Nothobranchius furzeri: one gene and its partner. The protein of the gene in region 1 interacts with the protein of each later gene in a biochemical or structural test. Links are inferred from orthologs where the notes say so. Each region holds a gene or a part of one and is shown on either strand. Other genes may lie near its edges.

The links.
Region 2: of the proteins of cyld (region 1) and mib2, one has a biochemical effect on the other in vitro, tested with the Homo sapiens proteins (2 studies listed by BioGRID, with this or other methods). The link is inferred for Nothobranchius furzeri from reciprocal best matches to the Homo sapiens genes CYLD and MIB2.

Annotation. Positions count from the first base shown.
Region 1 is NC_091749.1:70,997,817-71,001,316, forward strand, and holds part of cyld (ubiquitin carboxyl-terminal hydrolase CYLD), read left to right. Parts: intron 1-1,817; coding exon 1,818-2,206; intron 2,207-2,432; coding exon 2,433-2,598; intron 2,599-2,688; coding exon 2,689-2,830; intron 2,831-2,918; coding exon 2,919-3,041; intron 3,042-3,500. UniProt on the Homo sapiens protein: Deubiquitinase that specifically cleaves 'Lys-63'- and linear 'Met-1'-linked polyubiquitin chains and is involved in NF-kappa-B activation and TNF-alpha-induced necroptosis.
Region 2 is NC_091755.1:36,254,299-36,257,798, reverse strand, and holds part of mib2 (E3 ubiquitin-protein ligase MIB2), read left to right. Parts: intron 1-860; coding exon 861-1,003; intron 1,004-1,294; coding exon 1,295-1,402; intron 1,403-1,482; coding exon 1,483-1,587; intron 1,588-1,983; coding exon 1,984-2,146; intron 2,147-2,703; coding exon 2,704-2,837; intron 2,838-3,500. UniProt on the Homo sapiens protein: E3 ubiquitin-protein ligase that mediates ubiquitination of Delta receptors, which act as ligands of Notch proteins.

The DNA of each region.
Region 1 (3,500 bases):
AGTAATTTTGTTCACGAGTGAGGGAAAACTGGAGCTTTAGATCGACAGGCGGATTGGTGCTGCATCTGCAGTGATGCAGGCGTTGTACCGGTCTGTCGTGGTGAAGAGAGAGCTGAGTCAGAAGGCAAAGCTCTAGATTTACCGGTCGATGTACGTTCCTACCCTCACCTATGGTCATGAGCTTTGGGTAATGACCGAAAGAACGAGATCGCTGATACATGCGGCTGAAATGAGTTTTCTCCACAGGGTGTCTGGGCTCTTCCTTAGAGATAGAGTGAGAAGCTCGGTCATCCGGGAGGGGCTCGGAGTAGACCCGCTGCTCCTCCACATTGATAGGAGCCAGTTGAGGTGGCTCGGTCATCTGGTCAGGATGCCTCCTGGACGCCTCCCTGGTGAGGTTTTCCAGGGACGTCCAACCAGGAGAAGGCATAAAGGAAGACACAGGACACGGTGGAGGGACTTTGTCTCACGACCGCAAGGGAATGCCTTAGGATTCCCCCGGAGGAGCTGGTCCAGGTTAGCCTGGCAAGCCAGACTAAATAAATGTATTATTTAGTCTGGCAACGCTCCATTGACGGCTCTCGGTTGTGGGGCGGGTTCTACCGTTGTCTTTCAAATGATCTCCGCATTCCACTGAACAATGAATGTGACATACTCTTGTTTCACTCTGTTGTATCATCCCACCCACCAGGCATATAGAGTGCCCTGATTGGTCCACAAAGCGGATAAAGCTCTGTGATTTGTTCACTAAGCAAATAGAGCACTATGATTGGCCCACCATTATGGACCAATCACAGCTCTTTCTGTGTTTGAAACCCCTCTAGAGAGCTGTGATTGGCCAGCCAGAATGCTGTTGGGGCTTCAGAGGTTCCAATGGAGCGTTCCTAGACCAAACTTTGCAAAGCAAGAATTTTGTCTAGTTCACTAGGCTAGGTCCAGGTGGCTGAGGAGAGGGAAGTTTAGGCCTCCCTGGCCTCCCGCGACCCGACTCTGGATAGGCGGCCGACAATGGATGGATGGATTAAATTTACCAAGCTGTTGACCTTCTAGTTAAAGGGTTACAGGAAGTTGATGTCACAGCTTAAAGTGCAAATGGCTCCCAGCTACTACCACATTAAATTGTAGCTCAGTGGCTGCAAAACTGAGCTACGTTGTTTGTGTGCTAGCTAAAACACATGAGCAGTGGCAGCCATCTTGAATTAGATGTTTTGCTAACGAACAGAATCACCACCTCTTAGCAGGTGATGGTATTAAAGGTGGAACACAGAAAACCATGTTTTAATAATTATTTCTGATTCTAACGGGTCACTCTGAGTGTTTCATGCAGGCTGAACGTGGAGATAGTCTCCTACACCTATCTCCTGCATTAGCTTCAGATCAAAAACAGACAGTGAGACTCTAGGATTAGAAAATCCTGACAGATCTACGTCACACTGTCACTGAACATTCATACATGCCCTGTCAGCACTGCTGGCTAACATTGCTGTTAGCCAATCAGACGCGAGATGTCCACATATCAGGAAATGTCATCTGATGCTCAGCTCTGATTTGACACTTCCAGTCCCTGACTACGCCGGTGCTTTACATCTCCAGAGTGTGACCTGCAAGGCATTCACTCCTACTAGAGACCCCGGCGGGTGTGTCGAGTAAATTTGTGAACCACACCTTTAGCTGTTTCATGTGAAGATGTTTCAAGATGTTGAGATTTGTTCTAATAAATGGTATTTTAAACTAGCTCCTCCTCTACGATGGGTCAAACGGGGATTTTTGATCTACTTCCTGTTTTTCTCTGCTCATCTCTGGTGTCTCCCCTACAGTTGGAGAAGACCCCGCCAAGTCCCTCACGGACACGCCTCCCGAGTTCAACCAGTCCTCCCCACCGTCCAGAGTCCCGCCCACTTCCTCTCTGTCCAGCGACAACAAGTTCCACTCGCTGCCCTTCAGCCTGAACCGGAAGACCGTTCCCAATGAAAATATCAGTCAAGGGCCCATCTCCCTCTCCGTCCAGTCTGTGATGGGCGAGCAGCCCGAACCCCCGTCGCCCGCTGCCCCTCCCTCTCCACGACCTTCCACCCCTCCTCGAGGACAGCCGGGTCTGGAGGTGGGCTCTCTGGTGGAGGTGAAGGAGAACCCCCCTCTATGTGGCGTAATCCGCTGGGTGGGTCTGCCTCCGGGCCTGCTGGAGCCTTTAGCTGGTCTGGAACTGGTGAGACGTCACAAACCCATATTTATCATATATTTTATTTGTACAGATGCTCTGATTTTAGTTTTTTGTGACAAAACCGATATCTGACTCTGCACCTGCCCCTTTTCCCATAATATTTTTCCCGTTAACCTTTCGGTAGGACCAGAGGAACGTCCTAAATCTGATTTATTTAGGTAAAACGCTGAAGGAGTACTTTGCAGGAGTGAAACTGGATGATTTTTCTCAGGAAGAAGAGTGTCCCGGCTGCACCGACGGCACCTTTAAAGGTACTCGCTACTTCACCTGCCCCCCCAAAAAGGCTCTGTTTGTGAAGCTTAAGTGCTGCCGGCCTGACTCCCGGTTCCCGTCCCTGCACCATTCCTCCAATCCCATCGAACGCTGCAACTCTATTGGTGAGTCAGAACGAGGCCTTTGACTGGTGCAAACACGCAACGATTGTTCCCTAAAATGTGTTTTCTCTGTTTTCTCTGTGGCATTGGCAGCCTTTGGGGGGTATCTGAGCGAGGTGGTACACGAAAACACTCCTCCTCGTACGGAAAACGACGGTCTGGATGTCATGGTGGGGAAGAAGAAAGGCATTCAGGGCCACTACAATTCCTGCTACCTGGATTCAACCCTTTTCTGGTCACTTCCTGTTCAGATTAGAGAACTTGGGTCACATGGAACGATCCTGAATATGCAGGTTTTAACGGGGAGGGGGTTTGTTCTGCAGTCTTTTCTCCTTTAGTTCTGTTCTGGACACGGTTCTGTTGAGGCCGCGGTCGAAGACCGACGTCGAGTATTACCGGGAGACCCAGGAGCTGCTACGCACAGAGATCGTCAACCCGCTGCGCATGTAAGTCACCGTAACGACCGCCGCTGCGATCAGCTGATCGGCACACCAATCAGTGTAGTTTGTAGAAAAAAGGTCAGAAGTTTCAAACCCAAATCACTTCATCACAGTTTGATTTGAACTCTATTTTGTATTCAAACGGGACAATTTAAACTTGTAGTCTCTGCTGATGAGGGTCACACAGGTCGTCTGCTACAGCTAAAGGAAAACGTTCATCCTGCCGTGGTCGTTGCATCAGTTTCACTGCTTGTCAGATATCCGATAGAACAAGCACGACTAGACCAGGCTCACTGAAAAACCCTTTTTACTTGTTATTTTAGAAAAAACGATCAGTCACAGATGGTAAACAGTAGGGCTGGGGGTAAACGATTATTTTTAAAACGATTATTCTGACGATAATTTTATCAAATAGTCGACTATTCTAATGACTATTTAGACGATTAATCTAATGATTATTTTTCT
Region 2 (3,500 bases), on another chromosome or scaffold:
GTTCTGCCACAGGGGGCAGCACTAAGAGGTTTTTAGACCTAGATTCTAGATTTAATCAAGTTTTCACAAACATGTCAAAAAATGCACAGAAACAGAACAGTTGCATTTGCAAAGACCCAATTATACAGTTAATTAGCAAAAAAATATTAGTTTGGGGTTTAGTTACGCTTTAAGGAAATTAAGCTGTTACTGGCCAAACCTTCCGATCCCCTCATTGGCTGCTATGAGGTGAGGAACTCTGATATCCAGAAGGAGCTTGGAGTAGAGCTGCTGCTTGTCCACATCCAAAGCAGAAGCAGAAGCTTCAACAGGTTGGGGCGGTGTCTATGCTTATGTTTGTGACATCACAACAGGGGTAAAGTTTGAAATGGCTTGTTGAAGCCTACGATTCCTGAGACGAAAATCTGACAAAAACGGTATGAACAGGGTTTTATCCGTGTTTCAAGAGACAGTAGAGACCCACATGGCAACACAAAAGGATGCAACAAGGTATTTTTGCATAATATTTCTTTTAAACAGCAATTCTCTAAATGTTCAGCTGTTAACTCACAAAATAACATGGAGGCTCATGATGTCGGTCATCATTGGAACAAATTAAACGAGGAACTAATGGCAACGAGAGCAACAAATAGATGCAAACTTTTTGTGTTTTGAGTTTTCTGTTTACACAGAAAATTCATAATAAACATTGTCAGTGGAAACATTTTAAAACTCCACCAAGTTGTAAGATTTCAAAATGGGCAAACCAAAATTCGACCAATTCCAGTCACTTGTTAGGGAGTCGGTACACAAACGTTCTAGAAAACATCTAAAAATCTACCACCACAATACGACTTCCTCTTTCTCATCTCTGATTTCAGGAGAACACGCAGAGCTGCAACGGCAGGAGAGCGCTGACGGCCACTCCTTTCAGCAAGGAGACAAGGTGAAATGTCTCTTAGAGGTGGACATCCTGAGACAGATGCAGGAAGGTCACGGAGGATGGAACCCCAAAATGGCCGAGGTACGAAATGCAAAACAGACGGATGACAAACACAATAAGGATTTTAGCTTTTAATTAAATGTAGAAGTATTTCATTAACTTTCTTTTTTTAATCAGTAAGCCTGTTGTGCACAAATGTGTTTGTTTTCAACAAAACTCTGGCTCCACAATCACAAAAACACTCCACTAGGACAAACCGAATCCTTTTAGAACAAGGCTGAGCATCCAACTTTGCAATTACAGCTGCTAAAGAGAATAATAAGGTCACACCGAGGGGAGACCCAGGGTGAAACGGTCTGTTTGTGTTGGCAGTACATTTGTCGGATCGGGACGGTTCATAGAATAACGGACCGAGGAGACGTCCGGGTCCAGTACAGCAACAACATCCGCTGGACTTTCCACCCAGGCGCTCTCACAAAGGTACGTAAATACGGAGCAGGATACGCTGGTTTTGATTCAGAACGATTTCATATTTTGGCTTTTATTTTATCTTTATTTAGGTCAACACCTTTGGAGTTGGCGAGCTAGTGCGAGTGCTGGAGGAGATGGAGACGGTGAAGAGACTGCAGGCCGGTCATGGAGAGTGGACAGACAGCATGACTCCTGTATGCTGAGTTATAGGCTAACTAACTAAAAGGTCGGCTGATAGGGCGACCTCTGCATGCAGGTGTAGTGGAGCTTTAAGCTAAAAGTCACTTGACTTTAGGAGAGACGAAGTGCAGTTTAGATGGATTAATTGTTTGGGATTTGGGTGGTCTTTCACAAATGTACAAAATGACAAAAAATCTATTTGCCGTCTTTATTTTAGCAGTTTTTCTTTCTATAACCAGTCATTTTATTTAACTGGAATTCTTTTAAAGCAAACTAGTTTAAAGTTAGGATTTAACTGCTTGATTACTTAAAATGTCAGAGGGACAGAAATGGGGCATTAATACATCCTTGATTTGTTCATTTGCTCTTTCCCTCTCCTCACACCTGGTTTCTGTCGTTGTTTACCCTAGGTTCTTGGCCAGGTCGGCAAGGTGTTGAAGGTGTACGCAGATGGAGACCTACGAGTTGCATTTGGAGGCCAGACATGGACTTTTAACCCAGCATGCCTTGCAGCTCAGCCTGCAGAGGTAGATGCCAACCTCATGACAGCTGAGAACCCCATCGAATCTGGAAGTAAGGCCTCCTCCGGGACCAGGGGGCTCATCCCAAAATGCTGCAGCTCCAGCTTCACCTTTCATCATGCGTTCTTTCCTCCTCTCCAGCCCTCCTTCCAGCACCGTCTCCGCTTTGCATGCTTTCTCATATAGGCGCCTCCATCTGTGGCCTTTCTGTTTTTTCCCCCGATTGTGCGAGCAGGGTGTTGGTTTCTTCAAGTGCTCTTTCCTGTAGCATGCCGCGATGCAGCTTGTTAACAGCAAGAAGCTTTGGCAGCTCAGCAAACGTTTGTCATCATGTCAGAAGTTCTCAGCAGGCTCTTAATCATCTTGTGCTCTGTCTGTGTATGTGTTCACCTCACCAATGACAAGGTGAGAACCAAAACCGGTGTGTGGTCAGGTTCCACTGCATGGAGGGACATTTTGACTCATTCATGTGTTCATTCCAGCCCTGAAAAAGTCATCATCCTATAACTTAGAGTTTTTGTCCCTCTCTAAAGCCGTCTGTGGTTACTGTTGAAATGGAAAAGCTAACTCTTGTGTCTTTTTTTCTGTTTCCTCTCCCGCTCTGTCCAGGTACTGTCATCTCAGTGCTGGAGAAGCTGCTGTCTCAGTCCACGGAACAGGACAACCCCAGCCGGCTGGTCATTGAAGCAGCGCACGGCAGTGCCAGCAAAGTGCGGGAGTTGGTGCAGAAGCATCCTGACAAGGTGAGCGCAGCACTCCTGTTTGCTGCAGTCTGCTGTCCGTTCCAAGACGGGGTGCGTGCGTGGGTGTGGGGTGTGGGGTGGGGTGTGGGGGGCGCTCAAAACTTGTTTAGAACAAACTAAGCACTTTGACATATTACCAGTCTGATTAAATTACTAATTTACTCCTATCATATTAGCATAATGAAGACTGAAGTGAGGCAATGACCAGCAGGGTAGTGCTAGCCCAGTTCTCTCAAAAGTTCCTCTTTTGCTTATAGAATAAAAAAATAACGAGTTCCATTTCTGTATAGTTCAACTCGACTTCCTCTTATTATTTTTAAGTATTTAATATAATTAAATTACACATAATCAAAAAATATTTTAATCTAAATATTAGTCTGCATCCTCTGCAGAGCACATTCTAATAATAATAATAATAATAATGATGATGATGATGATGATAATAATAATGATGATAATGATAATAATAATGATGATGATAATAATGATAATAATAATAATGATGATGATGATGATGATGATAATAATGATAATAATAATAATAATGATGATGATGATGATGATAATAATGATAATGATAATAATAATAATGATAATGATAATAATAATGATAATAATGATAATAATGATAATAATGATGATAATAATGATAATAATAATAAT